2 linked regions of the Drosophila melanogaster genome follow. The protein of the gene in region 2 interacts with the protein of the main gene of each other region in a pairwise test. Each region holds a gene or a part of one and is shown on either strand. Other genes may lie near its edges. The genes, in order: TrpRS-m and CG17637.

Region 1 (12,130 bases), 2.7 Mb from region 2:
TTATAGCTTCTTATTGTGAAGGTCAAAAAATATTAAATATCAAAATTTTAACCCACAACAAATTCTTACAACAATACGATATGAATAGAGTGAATAGAGAGATATAAATGACTACTTAATAAACAAGAGCTAAATAATTCAATTATATTATACAAATTATATTTGAACTACTTAAAAGTTATCCGAAAAACTTGTTCGTTTAATAAAAATCAAGGAAATGCATGGAAAGTTTTTCAAAGTTTTAAAATCCAATATATTTTTAGGTGTCTAAAATAGAGGTTTCAAGTTGGGCTTGCAGCAACACTTATTTAAAATGGTTCAACGAGGTGCAAACCCCTTTTGACTGCGGCCATGGCAAATGAGAGAATGGAGAGAGCGGCAGCTGCACTGGCAATGTGCCTGTGTTGCGTGGAAAAGTGATTTTATGACCAAAACACATGGTTTGCGGCAGAATGGTTATGTGAAGAACGGAAAGCGGCCGCAAATTGATGAGCGGTACATTATTAATTGAATTTAATCAAATCGATTCGCATGACAGCAATGGAGGAGTTCGCCGAGTACTATGGGTGAGTTCTTTGAGATGTGAAGTGTGTGTGTGTGGGGCTTCAAGAACACGCATGCAACAAGTGTCTAAAATTAGCGTTAAATGCAATCAAACACGGTGGCTAATTTTAGCCACGATTTAGCACCCACTTCTCGGCCACACGACGTGAATCGGCTATTCCCTATCAGCTGAGTTGCGTATAAACAATGGCCAAATCTCCATCTCCACGCGGCCATGTGAATGAAAAGCTCAAACAAAGCGAAATTAGTAGTGCCGTACGAAAGCAAAACCATCCAGGAGGTATCAACACCCCAACTAAAAAATGCCCTGTGGAGCGTGTTTATCCTTTTCACAAAGGGACGAAAAGTTCAGCTGCTGGTTTTGGCGCGTAAAAATTCCATTTAAACTGGACGCAATTGAGTATTTCTATTACTTTGTACTGGGAAATAATACTTCATTTAAAAAATAAGTCATACTAAGAATATATAGAAAATTTAAAAAAAAAACCTTTGTTCTCAAGTCGCGTTTCTTATCTTGTGAAGGTTCTTTAAGATATCAGCAACTTTCTAATGTGTTAGATGGATGGACTATTAATTGACAGTGCGTGTCAAAGATGTAAAGTGAACTGATCCTAAAATTTAGCTACCCTGCTACTTATTTAATGACGACAAACAGTTTCCACTATTCGAACCGCTAATCGAACGCGACAATTCATTAGGGCTTGTGGTAAACTTGGCCCATCGACCTGACAAGTCATCCGATACTCGTACTTCATATTCAGGTGGAGATGGAGGTGGGTAACGGGTTACCAATTAGCGTTATCAGCGTCAGAGGCGCGATTCCACCACAGTTGTGTCTGACCTGAGGATTCGAGAGCTTCTGTCCGGCTGGAACTCACCACGATCCCCGGAGCCGTGGAACCGATTCGCTATTTAATGGCACTGGCGTGCTTCACAAACGCTCAGAAATAAGTGGAACGTTTCCCGGCGCTATACGCAACTCGATACAATTCCAAACTGCGAATTCGAATACGCAAACTCAATTAAGAGGCAACCAGATACAGATACGATTGTTATTTGCCCACTCAAGTATTTGAAACTCGACTCCACCCTTGGAAACATAGAATGGCTGGCAGTTTGTGATATTTTGTGAAATATAGATTCAAAGGGGATAAATTACAAAATAAAAAAAAGTAAATTTGTGTTAAAGGATCTGACTAGTTCACTAATAAACAGGTGAGAAAACGATAAATACAAATATAAATTTTCAAACACATTTTAATCTTTTATCGAGAATTGAAAAAGAGTTTATTAGTTTTGAAAAATAGTTTAGATTGAGATCTAAAAATAAATGTTTTTGCTTACTTGTCCGTTTTTTGTTTTTTTCTGTTTGTGACAGTTTTGTGTGATAAAAGTAAAGAACTCATTTTTTAATAAACTTTATTTTTTATATTAATTATTTTCACCTATGCTAACGGAAATAGATTTAGAAAACTTGAAGGATTTTCATTTTCAAATTTCTGAAACCTTATCAAATTTGCATCTGAACAGTTTGACAAATTCCTAGTTTCTTGAGCGTTGTCTTAGCTGAGGCACTGCACCTTGGAATAACTTTGTGTGGAGATATCCCCTGTGAGTCATTGGTAATAATCCCCGATGATCACAAGACTCCAATTTAGATCAGCTTCGACTCGACTTGGCGGCTGTAAAACCGTTGTCTACATTCGCACATTAACGGACGCCCACTAATTTTCTTATGGCCCGATCCATAAATCCAACTCCGCACAATTTCTTAGCCCACCTACCATCACAGGCACTTTCCACAAATTGCGAACGTGTTAATATGTGGGTTCTGTAAACATCGAAAATACGGCGGGTTATTATTGCACGGCTCAGCAGAAGCCCTAAGCCCCAATTGCACACTTACCCATTATAATAATTGTTTAATGAACATATTCCAGAATGCCCAGCTGGAGCGTGACGAATGCGTTTCGCGTGCTCACACGCAAAAAGCCCCTGGAGGACTCAAATGAATCCAAATTGGCCAAGGTCTTATCCGCCTTCGATCTTACCGCCCTGGGAATCGGATCGACGTTGGGTGTAGGCGTTTACGTCCTAGCTGGCGAAGTGTCCAAGCAATATGCCGGTCCAGCCGTGGTCGTAAGCTTCCTCATCGCTGCCATCGCCTCGATTTTCGCCGGGCTGTGCTATGCGGAATTCGGAGCTCGGGTTCCAAAGGCGGGATCGGCGTACATCTACAGCTATGTGACCATTGGCGAGTTTATCGCCTTCCTCATCGGCTGGAATCTCATTCTCGAATACGCAATTGGTAAGTTTTCAATTGGAGACGACGACGTCTGATTGATTTGATTTAATTGCCCAATATTCGCTCTCCCTAGGCTCTGCCAGTGTCGTCAAGGGTTTAAGCACCTATCTCGATCAGCTTTGCGGCAATCCGATGAGCAGTTTCCTGGGCACCCACATGCCCCTCAACATCGAGGGAATGGGTGCCTATCCGGATCTGTTTGCCTTCGTGGTGACCATACTTTTTTCCCTGGCCATTGCAGTTGGAGCCAAGGAGTCCACCAGGGTGAACAATGTTTTCACTATGCTTAATCTTGGAGTCGTGTTGTTCGTCATTATCGCGGGTCTTTTTAAAGGTGGGTTTTGAAATTGTTTTACATATTTATTTACTTACACAATCCTTTTTTCAGTTTCCAGCAGCAACTGGTCCATTCCAAAATCTCAGGTACCCGAGGGCTACGGCGATGGTGGATTTATGCCCTACGGAGTTTCGGGCATAATAAAAGGAGCTGCAGTTTGCTTTTACGGCTTCATTGGCTTCGACTGCATTGCCACAGCTGGAGAGGAGGCCAAGAACCCCAAGAAGTCCATTCCATTTGCTGTGATTGTCTCGCTGGCCATGATCTTCCTAGCCTACTTTGGAGTGTCCACAGTGCTGACCATGATGCTGCCCTATTTTGAGCAGGATGAGAAGGCTCCGCTGCCCCATGTCTTCCGGATAAATGGGTGGCATGTGGCCGAGTATGTTGTCAGTATTGGAGCGATGTTTGGACTGTGCTCCAGCATGATGGGAGCCATGTTCCCGCTGCCAAGGATCGTGTTTGCCATGTCCAACGATGGACTGCTGTTCAAATTTCTCGGAGACATTAGCGAGAAGTACAAGACCCCTTTCAAGGGAACCATGATCACAGGTATGCTGACTGGCATTCTGGCGGCAGTTTTCAATCTTAGCCAACTGGTGAACATGATGTCCATTGGCACTTTGTTGGCCTATTCCATGGTGGCCAGTTGTGTCCTTATGCTGCGCTACGAAGTGGACGATCGACGGGAGAGCCGCATTGTGGCAAACGGACGTGCCACGGGTCTGGAGCAGGATCGTCCGTGTGCTCTATGGAGGCGTATATTCAACCTAAATGGTCAGACAGTACCCACAAAGCAGACTTCAAGGATCGTCACCTACAGTGTCACGCTGTTCTGTGAGTGCAAATTTTAGTTTTAAAATTAGTATTATTAATATACCCCTAATAACATTTATTTTGTTTCAGCTCTTTGGTGCATGGTTTTCTCGCAGATTCTAACCAAGTTCGAGGAGGATCTGGCTAACGTGACGTCCTTCGATGGTATTAAGCTGGTGCTAGGCACCATACCCCTTGCAGTACTGCTCCTGGTCATCTCGCGTCAGCCAACATCAGGGGTGAAATTGTCGTTCAAGGTGCCCTTGGTTCCCTGGCTACCCGGCATTTCCATTTTGATCAACATTTACCTGATGATCAAGTTGGACATTCTCACATGGATTCGCTTCAGTATATGGATCGCCATAGGCCTGGCAATCTTCCTGGCCTATGGCATCCGTCACAGCCGGCTGAGGCAGCGGGAACAGCGCAACAATTCCATTGCCATGATGCGGGACTGCAGCAATTCGGCGTTGTTGGGCGGCCAGGAGAACTCAAAGTACAGCAACGAGGTGCCCCTGATATTGATGCACAGTACATCCTAAATATATATTGATATTAACCACACTATACATTTACTTTTTTTGCCTGCGAAATGCGCGATTAGACACGCTTCTCATCATCCACATACTCACCTATGTAATTTACACATGCACTTATCCTCATACCGTAAGATAGGATACCAAAAACAAACGAGAGTACAATAAGTTAGCTGAAAGCAATAAACACGAATATTCCTATGCTAAATCAGTATAAATTTATTTGGGTGCGAGATTTGCTTATAATTTAGCGATGAAATCCAGCCGGTCAATGCAATCACATGGGATTAAACATACAAGTTCAAAATGTAATCTTACTGCACTCTCAGTACATAACAGTAAATATAACAATAATTGTAGTGTCAGTATCCACATATGCCATTTGATTTTGATACGTCTATATTATCTTGACTTCGTCTTCTGCTGCAAAAGCTGTTCGCGATTTTCAAAAAAACGACAGATTTAACAGTAATGTTACCTAAGTATACTTGTACTACACTTATAACAATTGCAATGTTTCCGAGAGTTAAATCTCGACTTTGGTAGCTTCAGTGGCGTTGCGCTCGCCTTTCTCCCTTTCACGTTCCCCGGACTCCTCCTCTTCAGCTTCTTCGCGTTGCTCCTCAGAGGAAGCAGCCTGCTCTTCCTCCTCGCTCGCGACAATTATGAACTCACTGTCTCCTGCCGTAGAGTTAGTCTTTTCGCTCGAGCGACTTGAATTGGAAAGCGATTCTAAGGCAGAGCCGTACAAAGCGGGGTTGCAGGTAAACTCCTGCTTCTTAGCAGCGTTTACTTCACGTGCAATGGTGGATACCGCACTAGGATTCACGTTCTGGCTGTGCTTGTAAGAGCCACCCTGCGATTGCTGGCCGAAGCCCAGGTTGCCAGTAACGGGTTTAACTGTAGCGCGCTTGTTCTTGGCTAGAGCACCGGTGACCATGCTGGCCGAAAATCCTGGCGGCGGTTTGAACCCTATATGCGGAGCATTGCAGGTGTCCATCTGGAATACGTGCCGAGTTCGAGTGCTACCTAGTTGTTTCTCTACGCGCATAGACTGAGTGGGAACGATGGGCGCCCGACGGATCACCCGCGGTACAACGGCCTGAGGCATATCCGCCACCTCGCCGGTGGCTGACTGACCAGCTCCTCCGCTTGGCTGATCTCCGAATCCGTACATCCGTTCGTGACGCTCGTGGACATTCCCGTCGAAGTCCTTGGACATTCGCCTGCTTGCTGAGGTTTTGGAAATATCGGGTGCGGGCAGAAGTGGAGCCACATGCACCGCAGCCGGAATGTTGGCACTGGTTCCTAGTCCTAGGCGCTGTTTAACATCGTTCAACGTTTGGCGTGCCTGCTGACGTGCCTTTTCTGCACCCACTTCCAGCAAGTAGATCATCTCGTTGCGCTTAGTCATGTGATGGTGTATCTGTTCTCGGATCGGACGCAAGTGCTCGACCACAGCCTCCGCCACACGGTCCTTATACTTTGCCGTGTCCAAAGTGGCGGCCTCGTTCACCACTGTCTTAATGCTCTGTCCCGTGACCTGGGCATGGATGTTGACCAGATTGCTGACGCCAGCACGCTTGCCAGGATTATAAGTAATGTCCGATGTAAAGTCTGTGACGGCTTTCTTTATCTTCTGCGTAATCAAGTCGGGCGAGTCACACAAGTTGATGGTGGCCTTGGGATTCGCTTCCGATTTAGACATCTTTTTGGAGGGATCTCGCAGGGACAGCACACGGGAGGCATCACCATCCTCAATGATGGCGGTGCAAACAGGGAAAGTCTCGCCATAGCGACCGTTATAAATTCTGGCCAAGTGCTGGGCCAGCTGAATGTGCTGAATCTGGTCAGCGCCCACAGGAACATGAGTGGACCTGATCGAAAAACGAATATGAATATTATAAGTACTATAATAAGTAAGCAAATGGCAAACCATTTCAGATATTAAAGGGTGGTTTAAAAATATGTAAAGCTGAACCAAAGCATTTAAGTCTGATAAGCAACTAGGACTCTTGCATTCCCGGCTTACATTCTGAACAAAAAACGGAATATATTTACTTACTTGTAAAGCATAATGTCGGCTGCTTGGAGAACCGGGTAAACGTACAATCCCAGAGGGACATCCTTTAGAAGACGGGACTTCTCTCGGAACTGCGGCAGTTGAGCCAATCGCGGCATGGTGGTCAAGGAGCTAAGGATCCAATTGAACTCGGCGTGCTCGGCAACGGCGGACTGGACAAAGAGGGTGCTCTTGGTGGGATCGATGCCACATGCCAACAACGTGGCGGCCATGGTGAAGATGTTCTCTCGCAGAAGCGGCGGATTGTGGGGCATGGTAATAGAGTGCAAATCCACAATACACACGGTGACATCGTCACGAGCATTCTGCAGCTGCACCCATTTGCGCACGGCGCCGAGATAATTACCCAGATGCAGGGAACCCGTCGGCTGGATGCCACTAAAGACTTTCCTCGGCCAGCGGGTGTTATGCTGGGTTGGGGTAATATATTAGAGTCTTGTGTTATGTAAACTATTTCTACGAATGCACTTACTTCTTCGTGGCCACTGTTAACGGAATTACCATGGGGGTGTACGTGCTGCTTGTTTCCACCGGTTACCTGGGCCGTCGCAGAGGGCGTTCCAGCCGTCCTACTAGCCAATCCCGGCAAGAAACTCCTCGCCTGAATGCAACGGCGCTGGGAATACACAGCTGTCTGTCCCTTTTTGGCCACCTTAGACAGACTGCGATGGAGCTTGCCAAATCGGAACATTGCAATGAGCTATGAATTTTGTACCCCAAAACTTTTGAGTAAAAAATATTGGGAATAATGCGGTGCTAAATGTGTGAACAAAGCCCAAAAATAAATTATTTGTTCGAAACGGCCGAAATTTTGACACTGAGCGTTCGCGAGCGTTGCCAGATGGCTTTTGAAAAGCCGGTACGACAGCTGTGAACAGTGATACTCAGCTTGGCGAGTTTTCCGCTAAATCGTGGATTAATATTAATATTCAAATTTAATAAAGAATGTTATTTATTATCATTTTTTTTATAACTCTCTATTTAAGGGTATTACCTATTTACATCTTACTTGTGAACGTATGGCTTGAAATTTAATGTAATTGTTTGATGGTAAATAAATTGTAGAGACCAATTGAACAATTTTTTTTTTTTAACAGGACTCCTATTATTTTTATGCTTATAGCTTTATTAGTGGTACACCAGAAAATCTAACGACATTGAAAAAGAATTAATCTGCAGAACTGCAGTTTCGAGTTTTCAAACAGTGTTGTATTTATTCTAGCTTAATACACATATTACATTGCAATTAACGCCTGGCGCCATTACCATTATTTATATTTTCCACTTTTCTGTTCCTACATTGAGAGTTACAAATATGCGGAGACTGTCGTTTCGGCCGTCAGGATAATTTTTCGAATAGGGGTTATTCAAAGATTTCAAACGCGGTGCAAAATTCTTCACTATCTGGCAGAGATTGGGAAGTGCTTAGAAGTTGATGGGTTTGCCAAAGGCAGCTGCCACATTGGCCTCACGCAGGGCCTCGGAACATGTCTGAAAGAAGGAATTGTGCGCATTAGGTTCGAAAGGTTCAAATCAGATTAGGTAATCACTTACTGGATGCGCATGGCAAACGCGGGCAACGTCCTCGGCAGCGGCTCCGTACTCCATGGCCAGCACAGCCTCGTTAATGAGCTCGCCGGCACCAGGTCCGATAATATGGGTTCCCAGGATCTTATCGGTGGCCTGGTCGGCCAGAACCTTGACGAAACCGTCGGTGTCGTTGTTGGTCTTGGCACGAGAGTTGGCCAGGAAGGGGAACTTGCCCACCTTGTAGGCAACACCCTCCTGCTTCAGTTGCTCCTCGCTCTTGCCAACCCACGCGACCTCGGGATGCGTGTAGACTACACTGGGCACGCAGTTGTAGTCGATGTGCACGTGGCCGCCGTTGATGCCCTCAATGGTGATGAGGCCCTCATCTTCAGCCTTGTGCGCCAACATGGGTCCGTGGATGCAGTCGCCGATGGCGTAAATATTGGGCACCACAGTTTGGAAAGTGGCGTTGACGGGGATCCTGCCGCGGTCATCCTTAACAATGCCCACGGCCTCCAGACCCAAACCTTCGGTGTAGGGACGACGTCCAACACTGACCAGCAGGGCGTCGCACTGGATCTCCTCTTTCTCGCCAGACTTGGCGTTCTCCACGGACACGGTGACGTTGTCGCCGCTGCGAGAGGCAGCCGTCACCTTGGTGCCCAGCTTGAACTTAAGACCCTGCTTGGTGAGCACCTTTTGGAACGTCTTGGAGACTTCGTTATCGATGCCCACGCCGCCGATCGTATCCATGAACTCAATGGCAGTGACCTCAGCGCCCAGACGCGACCATACCGAACCCAGCTCCAGGCCAATGACACCGGCGCCGATGACAACCAGATGCTTGGGCACCTTGGCCAGCTTCAGGGCGCCAGTGCTGCTCACAATAACTTCCTCGTCGATCTGTGAAGGTTTTTGAATGGCATGCATTAGTAATCAAGCGCGCTGTAGAGGTTTTGCACTTACTTCAATGCCAGGGAAGGGGGTAACCTCCGAGCCGGTGGCGATGAGGATGTTCTTGGTCTTGACAGTCTCCGTGGAGCCGTCGGATTTCTTAACCTCCACCTCGTTGGGATTGACGATGGTGCCGAAGCCCGTCAGCTGTGTGACCTTGTTCTTCTTGAAAAGCATGGCAATGCCACCGGTCAAAGCCTTCACGGCGTTGGACTTTTGACCCATAAGCTTCTCCAGATCCAGGCTAACGCTGCCGCAGCTAATACCACGTTTCTCCAGATCACCGGAGTGGGCCATGTGGTAGTAGTGGGAGTTGTTCAGCAGCGCCTTTGAGGGAATGCAGCCAACATTCAGGCAGGTGCCGCCCAGAGTTGCCTCCTTCTCCACGCTGACCGTCTTCATGCCCATCTGGGCGGCCTTGATGGCGGCGACATAGCCACCGGGTCCGGAGCCAATCACCACGATGTCCGCCTCGTGGGTGCTGGAGTAGCAGCGGGCGTTGAGGGCACCCAGAATGGCGGCATTGGTGCGCAGAGGAGTCTGTAAAGACGGCAGATTACTACATGTTGTGGCACCTTATCATTTATCACGCCAGTCGCACGCATTTCGCACTAATCTTCGGCCGACTATCAGCTGATAATTGGCCTAATTAGCGACCTTGAAAACGGGGCCAAACAAATCCCCAAACGCCAGTGAATCACCCACCGGGATCATATGAGCACTGCAGGTGATCCAAGTGCATTTTCCAGCCTTTTCCTGCCCATTTCTCGACCCCCTCGGTGAGGTTAGATTGCATAACTTGAGGGGCGATGGCGTTTGGGGAATCGGTTATGTCGCCCGATCCTTACCTTGGCTACTGCCGAAACAACATGACGGAGCGTGAATTGCATGGCTGGTGCGGGCGAGTTATGAGGATAATCGTTATTTAACTACAAACACAACACTAGTTTGATGTGTGTTTTTCCGACTGTTTTTCGTGTTGTGGGGCTCGGAGCGGTCGCAGGGCTGGCGATGTGCATTCGATAGTGGTCATATGATGGCCGCGATGCTATCGATTGTTTTGGTGATTTTCCACTCTGTTGGAATTTGAAATTCTAAAACATTTTCGTATGAAAAAGATGTGTATAAAAATATTAGCTTGATGATCGTTCAAAATACGATATGTCCGTCACTCAATTGCTAGTTTATACAATATTCACTTTATGGGTCATTTGTTGTAGCAAAAGCTACCTAAAAACAAGCCAACTATACGTGTAAGCCGGCTTTTATAGTTTTGGCACCCATTAATTAATGTTTTTGTACGTATAAAATAAACTGTAATAAATAAACTGTAAAATAACTGTTTTAAAAATATATAACTCAACGTACATACGATACATATATAATAAGAGTTCCAAAGTAATATTAACTTTATTATATCTATAGGTAATTAAAAATGTATTATACGATGAATATTCGATAGTTTGCCCTACAGTACAACCCTGTGTGGTATTCCCCATCTGGGATATTTCCCACAACACTTTTGGTATTTTCACGTCGCGTTCATCTCGCGTTTTCGTTGAAGCCTCAGTATTTCGCTAGCTGTCGCAATGCGGTCACACTGGTTCGCGGACACAACAAGATGGCGAGACTTGCCCCCGAAATCTGTTAGAAAACGCCACAAGAGCAAATAATTAGTTCAGTTTTCGACCAGAAAAGAGTCAGCCGAAGTGCCGGGCAGACGCGGCGCATTTTGCAGAGTGTGAGCTTGGCCAGCGTTGCCCGAGAGCCGCGACAGGCGACACCTTCTGCTGGCCTTGCCTTGTTGCTGTGCCCCTGTGTGCGTGAGCGTGTGCGGTGCGGTGCGATTGTGTGCGTGGGTTGCCAAGAGTGAAGAGAATCGCTGAGTTTCCAAGATGATGAGCAACTACGGCAACATGATGGACTCACCGAAGTCATCGCCCCACGGCGGCGGCCGATCACCCGTGGTGGCCCGTCAAGACTCATCCGGCACCCTGAAAACGACCATTTCGCTGGGCAAGACGCCAACGATCATTCACACGGGGCCATTTTACTCCATGAAGGAACCACCCGCCAAGGCAGAACTTACCGGCGACAAGGATCTCATGACCGAGTACGGACTGCACCACACACTCACCAAGTTCAAGGAGAAGAAGTTCAAGGAGTCGCTGGCCTCGTTTCTGCAGAACATCCCCGGCATTAACGACCTCATCACGCATCCCGTGGAGAATAGCACGCTGCGGAGCGTGATCGAAAAGCCGCCCATTGGTGGAAAGGAGCTTCTTCCGCTGACTCCCGTGCAGCTGGCCGGATTCCGCTTGCATCCCGGACCGGTTGGTTTTTCCAATATGCTTTTAATTCGCTTGCTCAGTTTGAAAAATGACGAATCTTTAGATACGGCACATTGAACATCTTAGAATACATTTAGACGCTATTCAATGCTTTGCGTCTCTATACATTTGCATGCATTAATTTCGCTTTTTAAAATTTGCATATGAAATTTGGATTTAAGTGTCCTTGCACAGACTGATCTACTATAAAGTGTTATTTGGTCGCACCTTTTCTGTCACTTATTTCTATAATCACCGTAGTATTTTAGAGTTGTAATTCATTTTCCTTATGTTCAACAACAAATTTGAAACACAAATATTTTAGTCATTAATCACAAAAATTACTTAAATTAACAAGAGTGTAAATGTTGGTTTTCCCTTTAAACCTCTTTTGAACAGTGTATATTAAGTCAGTAGTTCGCAACGCAGTGATCTATATGAACAGCTGAGTCGATAAGGCCATGTCCGCCTGCCCGTTTTCTTTCAGTTTTAAATTTTTGTTGCAAGTAGTGCATAAATCAGAACGCGCCAGTTTAGGCCACTAATTCATATTGCTGCCATATGGTTTAATATTATGATATTCAAAAAAAAAAAAAAAACTAACCTTCCTTGTTGACGGATTGTCCTTCCTTTCTTGTTATTGAAATATTGGCATTTAATATTATTGAGAGTTTT
Region 2 (10,696 bases):
GGAATCCTGGGATTTGTGACCACGCCCGTGATGGGTGCCATTTCCGATTTTCATGGCCGGAAAGTAGTGATGCTACTGGCAGTGGCAACCACCTACGCTCCAATTCCATTCATGATGTTGAAGAGTTGGTGGTTTTTCGCCATTCTCACTGTGAGCTCCATCTGTGGCAGCACTTACTCCTCTTCATTGGCCTATGTGGCAGACACAACTACTGTGGAGAATCGTTCAAAAGGCTATGGCATTGTTGCGGCCAGTTTTGGCGCAGGAATAGCCTTTTCACCATCGTTGGGGAATTACTTGATGAAATCGTACGGGTCCGCATCAGTTATTTTGATTGCCGCCATCACAGGCTTGATTAATATAATGTTTATCATATTTGCGGTGCCAGAGAGTTTAGTTTTAAAAGAAAAAAATAATATGTTGGATGAAGAGAGTGATAACAAGATGGAGGACATTAACCCGAAGGAAAGGAAAGAGATCTTAAACAGAGAAGAAAAATTGAATAACCACGTTTCAGCGAACAAATCCAACCACGGCACATCACAAAATCTAGTCACAAATAAAGAGCTGGGCCAACAGTTCAACAAAGAGGAAAACCTTCAGAATGATTTAACTGAAAAGGAGAAAATTGATAATGGATCCCTAAACTCTTCCGATCTTTGGGAAGTGCTGCGTAAAAGTCGTAAGGATAAGAACCTGCTCGTGATATACCTCATAACATTCCTCTCGATTTGGCCCTTTGCAGGAGTGGATTCTACTGCGCCCGTTTATCTCAAAACTAATATGGGATTTGAGTACGAGGAGGTGTCCATGATGTTGGGATTACTATCTGTGCTGGCGATCACATCCAATCTCCTTCTCGGTTATATTATAAACATAGTGGGGGCCAAGTGGTCGATCCGACTGGGATTATTACTCCTGCTATTGCAGTTGTTCTTCTTCGGCTTTGGAACCCATCATTGGATGTACTGGTTAAGCAGTATCTTGGCCGCACTGGCAACAATTATACCCGCTGCCAATAATGCGGTGGCTTCCATCTACGCCAGTCCCGATAATCGGGGTGCTGTCCTGGGCATTATCTCTGGAATTGAGTGCTTGAGCGAGGGTGTGGGACCTGCCTTTTTCGGAGTACTCTTCTTCATTTTCCAGGATGATTCGAAGAATAAAGTTAATTCACCAATTTCAATGCCCTTCGTCATAAGTGCCATTGGTGTATTTGTAGCCATCGTCTTGACAGGTTTTATTAAAAAGGAGACTGTCGAAAAGGCACCATTGATCTATAAGATCATAGACGACGCTAGCGAGGATGAGGTAGAACCACTAGCGAAAACAACATTTAAATATGAAAAGAATAATGGTTATGTAAAACTAGAGATAGATGACAACTATGATTCGGATTGTAAAGAACATAGCTTTAAATAATTGTTATTTAATTAAACGTTATATAAATTTTCATAAAATGTTCACTTGTTTTAAGTATTCAACAAGAGGGAATGCTATAGTCGAGTTCCCCGACTATCAGATACCTATTACTCATCTAGTCGGAATACGATCGCGAAGTTTCATCATTTTTCTGGGATATCGATAGATATTAGGTAATAAAATAAAAAACAATTTAAAAATTTAAAAGTGTGGATCGTTTTGGGCGTTTTGTACGTGAAATGAGGGGCGTGGCCACAGTGTTGTTGGTATACCAATAAAAATTCGCAAGACACAATAAAACGAAGAAAAATCTAAACTTGTTTCAAAAGTGTGGGCGTGGCAGTTTTGGTCGGTTTTATGGCGTTAGAGGGGGCGTGGCAAAAAGTTTTTTTGCAAATCGATAGCAATTTACAAGACTATCAAAAATATGAAAAATATCAAAATATTTTTCAAAGGTGTGGGCGTGACAGTTTTGTGCTGTTTGTGAACGTTAAAGTGGGCGTGGCGCAAACAAAATTACGCTGCGTTTTTGTCTCTAGAATCTGTATGCTGAATTTCAACCTTATAAGTTTTATAGTTCCTGATATCTCGACGTTCATACCGACAGACGGGCGGACGGACATCGCTAGATCGACTCTGCGCTATTGCCATCCTTCTCTGTCCACCTTCTGCCTTTACAGTCTTTTTCTACAAATCTAGTATACTCTTTTACTCTACCAGTAACGGGTATATATTACATTTTAATATAATAAGTCTTAAAAGATGAGTTCAGCTTAATTAATCATAATTAATTAATCAATCTTTTGGGTTCAATACATTTATACATTTATTAGTAATTCTATACATCTCTAATCTTATACATTTTTAGTAATCTTTTCGTTTTTTGAAAATTACAAATTATTTTTTGTTTTCATTTGAAAACGCCGAAAAATGAACAAGTTATACATCTCCCAAGGCATATAGATTTTCCAAATTCCGATCCTAAAAAGTATATATATTCTTGATCAGGATCACTGATTGATTTGATCAGCCAATGTCCACAGGCAGACGGACGTCCATATGAACGTCGAAATCTAAGGAACTACAAAAGGATATTAAAAAACATAGACGCAGCAGAGACTTCCCACACCCACAGTTTTGAAAAATGATTTAATTTCTAAAATTTTTTTGGTTTTGCCAATTACTAGCGATATGACAAAAAAAATGTTGAAATTTCTTGATTGTACTTCTACTAGCTGAGTAAAGGCTATCTGATAGTATTGGAATTCGACTTAGGCGTTCTTTTCTATCTTTTTGAAATTGGACGTGGCAAAGCAAAAATAAAAGGTGGGGATATATAAAGGGGGTCAAACGATACAAAAATTTTAATTTGATTTTCTTGACACGGCTTCCTTAAACTCACAAGTGGCTCGCATAAATTTGAACATCAGATCTTCACATCAATCGATATTTACTTTTAAAAGGGGCCCTCGGCCCGGGTTTTTACATTTTCCAGTTCGATTTTAACCTTATTTTCTCACAAATGTTTTAGGAACTTTTTATGCAATCCCCTTCGTTTTTGCTCCACCTTTCGATTGTTTTGCCACACGTTAAGATCGAAAAAACCACAGCACACGTTCCTGGTGAACTGATTGGTCATGGGTGTCAAGGGAATACTCTCGTATTTCGCTTAATCATTTTGGCCGGGATCACTAGCCGAGTCAATCTGGCCATGTCCGTCGGTCTGTCCGTATGAACACTGGGTTCTCGGCACCTATAAAAACTAGAATGTTACTATTAGGCATGGTTATTTTAAAGAGGTAGACGCATCGCAAGATTGTTACACCCAATCTTGCTACCAGAAATCGCCAAAAAATATCACGCAAACGCTTTTTTTTTTTTTTGAAATTTGTCAAACGCACTTACTCTAGCTGAGTAAAGGGTATCTGATAGTCGGACAACTTGACTCTAGCTGCCAAACTCATTTGGGCCAAGCCCAATCCGAAAACCGTCCAAACTGTCGCGCTTGCACTGTTGAAATCCCTTTCGTTGTCGTTTTTAATTATACTGGTTTACTTGCAATATTCTATGTGACTCCCACCATCTGCTTAAAGGGTATCTGATAGAGTTTCCCTTTGTGTTGTTATATTTTTTGTACCAACAATATTCTCATATAAATTAATGAAGCTGCAGATATTTCAGAAAATTCATTTTATATTCATATAAATTCATATTTATTCAAAGTCATATGGCAATTCTCGAATCATATTTTAAGGCACGAAACTGTGTTAAATAATTGTTTATGGTTTACTTTTAAAAAGTTCGGAATGTTTGATTTTATATTCGTGAAAAACTGTGAATATATGTATATGGCACTACTTGTTGGTTTCAAATAATAGTTTATACGCTAGTTGTAAACGGGAACCTTTTCTTTTAATTGCCAGTATCAAGAGAGAATGATAATAATATATGAATATTAATATATTCGAAATATGTGTACCTCTCTTTCAAATAAACTCAATAAAACATCTTAAGAAACGATATATTTTTTAAACGACAAAATAGTGTAGTATAGTTCGAGTATCATGTTTTTTCCAGTGCAGCCATAACTATATTTTCTATAAAACTGAGGCGTATAAATTGGATTTAAACTGGAGTTGTCAGGCTATTCTGGCGTTGGCCAGTTCGCGGACAGAACACTAAAAAATGGCGCAGTTGAAGTTTCTTAGACCCCTGGTGAAAGTATTGGTTAATCGTTCTGGAATCGGAAAAGCAAGTGTTTGGCACGCGGTGATCGTTACGTTTATGCACTACTTCTCCTGGGGTCTTCTCACCGTTCCCTTCATCGAAAAATTGTCGGGATCGTTTGGGAATCGCGTCCTTCTCGTCGATGGACTGGTTTATGGAGTTAGAGGAATCCTGGGATTTGTGACCACGCCCGTGATGGGTGCCATTTCCGATTTTCATGGCCGGAAAGTAGTGATGCTACTGGCAGTGGCAACCACCTACGCTCCAATTCCATTCATGATGTTGAAGAGTTGGTGGTTTTTCGCCATTCTCACTGTGAGCTCCATCTGTGGCAGCACTTACTCCTCTTCATTAGCCTATGTGGCAGACACAACTACTGTCGAGAATCGTTCAAAAGGATATGGCTTTGTGGCGGCCAGTTTTGGGGCAGGAATAGCCTTTTCTCCATCGTTGGGGAATTACTTGATGAAATCGTACGGGTCCGCATCAGTTATTCTGATAGCCACCATCACTGGGATGATCAATATCTTGTTTATCATATTTGCGGTGCCAGAGAGTTTAGTTTTGAAGGAGAAAAAGGTTATTTTGAATGAAAATAATGATAACAAGGTGGAGGACACGAAAGTGGATGACATAAGCCCAAAGGAAAAGAAAGAGAACTTAAATGGAGAAGGAAAGGTGAATGTTGAAGTGAACAAACCCACCTCACAGAATATAGTCACAAATAAAGAGCTGGACCAACAGTTCAGCAAAGAGGAAAACCTTCAGAATGATTTAACTGAAAAGGAGAAAATTGATAATGGATCCCTAAACTCTTCCGATCTTTGGGAAGTGCTGCGTAAAAGTCGTAAGGATAAGAACCTGCTCGTGATATACCTCATAACATTCCTCTCGATTTGGCCCTTTGCAGGAGTGGATTCTACTGCGCCCGTTTATCTCAAAACTAATATGGGATTTGAGTACGAGGAGGTGTCCATGATGTTGGGATTACTATCTGTGCTGGCGATCACATCCAATATACTACTCGGTTATATTATGAATATAGTAGGGGCCAAGTGGTCGATCCGTCTGGGACTTTTACTATTGTTCTTGCAAATGCTTTTCTTCGGCTTTGGAACCCATCATTGGATGTACTGGTTAAGCAGTATCTTGGCCGCACTGGCAACAATTATACCCGCTGCCAATAATGCGGTGGCTTCCATCTACGCCAGTCCCGATAATCGGGGTGCTGTCCTGGGCATTATCTCTGGAATTGAGTGCTTGAGCGAGGGTGTGGGACCTGCCTTTTTCGGATTACTCTTCTTCATTTTTCAGGATGATTCGGAGACTGATCTTAAGGTCAATTCTCCAATTTCAATGCCCTTCGTCATAAGTGCCATCAGTGTTTTTGTGGCCATCGTCTTGAGCAGTTTCATTAAGAAGGATACTCTTGGAAATGAAGAAACTAGAGTCGCCAACGAAAACATTCCTTAAAGGCGAAAAATAAGGATATTTATAAGTAGATATTAATGACTGCTACTTTGGTTTGGATTTAAAGAATGTAGACTTACGTATCTGTAATTTAAATAATTTTTAACTTAATTAAAAGTCTTCAACTCGAAACTTTTGGATTTGCGACAAATATCGACTGTTTAAACGTGTAGAAAACTTCAAGTTCTTATACCATTTTCGGACTCACCTAACTAACTAATCACCAAAAGGTATTAGCTACGCTGAAAGACCATACAAATTGTTATTTCAGTTCAGTTGAATTTCCAAACTCGAAAGTTTAGTATTCTCCATGTTGAACTCCCATTATATACATATGTCCAAGTTCGGTCTGAAAAAGTTACTCGTATCGTTGGCCTCTACTTCGGGAATTGGAAAGCCAAGTGTTGGGCACATACTAGTAGTTGTTTTTCTGGAATACTTCGCATGGGGCCTGCTAACAATGCCCATGATAGCCACTCTAAAGGAGACCTTCCCAGACCACACGTTCCTAATGAACGGATTGGTCATGGGAGTCAAGGGAATACTCTCGTTTCTGTCGTCGCCCCTGATCGGAGCTTTATCGGATATATATGGGCGGAAAGTGCTGCTCCTTATAACAGTGATCTTCACTTCCTTACCGATCCCCATGATGACCATGGATAACTGGTGGTTCTTTGTGATAAGTTCGATCAGTGGAGTATTGGGTGTTAGCTTCTCAGTGGCTTTCGCCTATGTGGCGGATGTTACCACAAAGGAAGAGCGCTCTAGATCCTATGAACTTGTATCGGCCACCTTTGCTGCCAGCTTGGTGATCGCCCCAGCAATGGGTAATCTCATAATGGATCGTTACGGAATTAATACTGTGGTGTTAGTAGCAACTTTGGTCTCCACAACGAACGTGATGTTTGTACTGCTGGCTGTGCCCGAAACATTACAACAAAACGTTAGATCCACTGGATTGAGCTGGAAACAAGCGGATCCTTTTCTATCCCTGCGAAGAGTGGGCTCGGATCCTAATGTTCTGCTACTGTGCGTAGTGATGTTCACGTTTCTACTTCCCGAAGCTGGGGAATATTCCAGTGTGCCAGCCTATCTGAAACTAACAATGGGGTTTGATTTCACGGAACTCTCCACGCTGGTGGCGTTCATGGCCATATTAGGCATTTCGATAAACGTGACCTTGGGATCAATAGTGAAGACATTGGGTGCCAAGAATGCTATAATACTTGGATTGCTCCTGGAACTGTTGCAACTCATACTCTTCGCCATAGGATACGAAAAGTGGCAAATGTGGCTAGCCGGAAATGTAGCTGCCCTGAGTTCCATCACCTTTCCGGCCGTGAGTGCCTACGTATCCCTCTACACGGATGTTGAAACTCAAGGAGCAGTTCAGGGAATGATCACGGGAATGTCGGGATTGTGTAGTGGACTTGGACCCGCTCTGTTCGGTATCGTATTCTACCTATCCGACATGGATTTGGATAAAAATCGAATTTTGATAGGCAGTGTAAGTGGAGATCGCACTGTGACCAATCCCTTTATGATTGGAGCTATCTCTGTGTTTATCGGCATTCTGTTGGCGTCATATATCCCAGATGAAAAGGTTTCCAGGGGAAGGAGAGAGGAATTTTCCGCACTGAAGTATATTATTGAAATGGAGGAGGCGACAACAATATAGTTTTACAAATCTTTATTTAGATAGCTTGTTTAGTTCACTATATGGGTTTACACGAGGTCAGAAGCAATAGTATTTAAAAATAAGAAACATTTTCAGTAGAAAATCAAAATATAAACTTAATTAAGCGTTAACTAAAAAGGGTGCGAAAGGTCATTTTTAATTGCATTTAATTGCTTGCATTTTGTTTGCGTTTCGCGATAATGAAAATTGTGCTTTAGTGGGTTAAGATTTAGACGCTATGTCGGTCGTTGTCTTCATTTAATCAGCCACTTTAGCACTGCCTCTCAGTCGACGACCGCGTCTGTTTATTTTGGTTTTTGTTTTCCAATTTCCTTGGCATTTCCCTGCTATTTATTTATAAATTTTCATTTTGCTCTTCTTATTTGTTTAGAAGCTGAAAATTAACAACAGTTTGTTGACTCTTACGCAACAGTCTGGCCTTTTGTTTGTTGTGCCCGTCAGCATGGTGCAATCGGTAGCAAAAGAAATTGACAATAGATAATTTATTAACAACAATTGCAGAAACCCATAAATAGACCAAGCTGTCCTATGTATGTATGTATGTATATTTCCCCATCTCTTCGCAAACGAGCGTTCCTGTTTGGCAGATGTATTCCCTTATTTTTTTTATTTTTTGGTTTTGTTCAAACACAGGCAAAGCCGAAAACTTTCCATTTGAAAAAGCGAGTATCCCATTAAATTTGTACGTATGTACGTATGCCTATGTATGTAAAGAGCCATAAAGTTGAGAAAATAGTGTGATTATACTGAAACACGTGCATGCAAAACCGATTCTCTTACTCTCTTAGGGACATGAAAATATGGGGAGAACATGAGAAGTGAGAGTCTCACTGGCGTCGACTGGGTAAATATTATTTAAGTGTGATGCAGGGGCGGATTCAATTGGATTGGGGTGCTGAACTGGGTGTGTCCAAAGGTAAAATTTTGTAATATAACAGATACTATGTAACTCGTTGGGTAATTATTTCAATTATCTCGTTGGACATCAATCTAGATTTTAATTTGATTAACTCTTAAATTTACCCAATATATGAAATATACATAAGTGATATGATACGATATAAACAGGTTTTTTTGTATTTGAGATGAGAGAAAATGCCAAACCATTTAGCTCCCCTTCAGAATAACCCGCCCTGTAGCAAAAATTCAGTGACACATAACTTTTATCTCGCTATGTTGGTGTTGTATGCCTCCTTTTTAGGTTTTTTCAGCCGCGTCTGGGATTTCTGCCATTGGCCTTCAATTTCGATTCTTTGGCGAGCACTATCAACCAGTCACACAAACGTATGGAACATATGTTCACACGAATCCGGCAACCAGACGACTTGCATATGTACAAAAAAATGCGAAACTATTCCGTGATTCAAGAGAACCCTACTTTGTTGCTACACGGGGCGAAATATTGGGGTGCAAGCAACGGGTCGAAATCGATAAGCCTTGACTTGATAAGACGTCTGTGCCACCCAGCTAATACCCCTTCCATTTCACTACTCTGCTAAATGCGATGCGAATTTCTATGGGTTTTAATTAGCGTTGCGAATGCCTGATGACCAGGAAAACGGTCGGAATCGTTAGTTACACGAGTTACACGAGACTGACTAATCCTACAAATGCTACTGTGCGCAATCAACAATCCGCGTCCGGAACGCAGTAATATTATGTCACTAAAACTGGCATCGGGCGTCTCTTATCAATTATCTTGGAGCAAATCGAAAATTAAGCGCGTTACCAGGCGAAGAAATCGGTTACAGTTTTTCTCGCTGACCGATAACTCCTTGACCTTTTGCTACATACACATACAAATATAAATTTGTACATAGGCGACTTTGAGTATAAAATGGCCTCGGTTCTGATGGAAAGTTTATTTCCTCTTGCCACTGAACTTTGCCGATGTCGGCGAATTTATGCAAAAAAATATATTTGGGTCTGGCTTTGCTTTTTGCTTATGCTGAAAGAGAATCGACCAGTTGTGAGAGTGAGGTTGAGATACCCTTCTGAAAGACTATGAACAAATTTGAATACAATTAAGAAAATAGTAAATGCTGAAACATTTCGACTAATATACCAACAAATCAACTACACGTATTTTTAAAACTTACAAAAATCGAGTTTTCTTAAATGTATGTATTACCACAACTTCTTGATTTGTTTTTGATTTATTTATTTAAAAAGCGACATATGCGAACAGTTTACATCACATGTGAAATTTGTTTAGTGAATTTAAATTAAAAGATCGGGGTTCCTGCTTTTTAAACTTCCTATCTTTTCATTTTGATTTGTAAATTATGAACTGAAACTCAAAAGTAACTGAAAGTTAGGGTATCCATGGTGCGCTCTTTTGAAAACCGATTCCCTTGCGATGGAGTGATAGGCGAACACGTGAGAGAGCGGGAGAAGTATGGGGCAAAGCATAGAACGCGATTACGATTACTGGGGGCCCCTCTTTCTGCGCTTTGGTGCTTCTCTTTCTGCCGGCTTTTCGAGTCTCTTACGCAAAAAGGCCTTCATTTGGAAAGCCCACGTCGTGGAGATCGGATCGCATTAATTCTCCTGCTTAAAAGCCTGTAAATTCCAAAACATGTCCGTTTTTAACTAATATAAATAACGATTGCATATGCCTCTGCTTATTACAGGCACCGCCAGCAACGTCGAGCTAATGGAGGCCATGAAGAAATTGGACGCGGACCTGGTGGCCCTTTTCGCCACTGCTGCCTCCGCCGAACCTCTTAAGATTAGGAAACAGCAGGAGGTCCTGTGGCCGGGAGCCGAGCCGGAGCAAACCGCCCAGGAATCGGAGGATGATGAGCTGGTGATGACGCCGGAGCTCTTCCGCAGCTGCAACGCCTTGCAGCTGCACTTGGAGGCACTGACATTGCAGCCGGAGGGAACCCAACGCATGGAACTGGTTCAGAACGAAGTGCGACCCATTTTCACCGTGGAGTGCCAGCTGTCGGGGGACTTGATCCGTAAAGTGCCGCGCCAACCGATGTTCCACATCATGCAGTTCGAGTCGGAGAAGTTCCAGAGCCTGACGCAGTGCACCCGTTTCGGGCAGACGGCTCAGCGTCAGGTCGATATGGAAGATAAGAGCCTGCAGGATCCGGAACAGAGTGCTGGCCATGTAGACATCACGGTTTGGTGGCGCGAACCCGGCACCTGTCTCAACGAAATGCTCGGCATGGGCCGCCTGGAGCTCAGGGAGCTCTACAGGGCATCCCTGTTGGAGCAGTGCAAGTGCATTGCCATTCGGCGACGCGACGTCCACCTGGGTAGCGTGTACTTGAAGATCAGTCTGCTTCAGAATTTGAATGGTAGCCCGGAGCAGCCGCAGCAACAGCAGCAGCAGCCGGGCCAAAAGAACGAAAGTGGAAACAAGGC

The links.
Region 1: the proteins of CG17637 (region 2) and TrpRS-m interact in a two-hybrid assay, tested with the Drosophila melanogaster proteins (one large-scale study listed by BioGRID).

Annotation. Positions count from the first base shown.
Region 1 is NT_037436.4:17,845,082-17,857,211, reverse strand, and holds TrpRS-m (Tryptophanyl-tRNA synthetase, mitochondrial), read right to left. Parts: upstream 7,486-12,130; 5' UTR 7,333-7,485; coding exon 7,114-7,332; intron 7,052-7,113; coding exon 6,624-7,051; intron 6,436-6,623; coding exon 5,085-6,435; 3' UTR 4,759-5,084; downstream 1-4,758. Other genes in the region: CG5535 (uncharacterized protein), read left to right, coding at 541-566, 2,505-2,872, 2,943-3,203, 3,258-4,043, 4,113-4,564; CG7430 (uncharacterized protein), read right to left, coding at 8,067-8,132, 8,196-9,074, 9,138-9,665, 9,974-10,015; MED19 (mediator complex subunit 19), read left to right, coding at 11,021-11,458.
Region 2 is NT_037436.4:20,500,079-20,510,774, forward strand, and holds CG17637 (uncharacterized protein), read left to right. Parts: upstream 1-4,107; coding exon 4,108-5,622; downstream 5,623-10,696. Other genes in the region: CG18281 (uncharacterized protein), read left to right, coding at 1-1,422; CG5078 (uncharacterized protein), read left to right, coding at 5,954-7,297; CG32425 (uncharacterized protein), read left to right, coding at 9,975-10,696.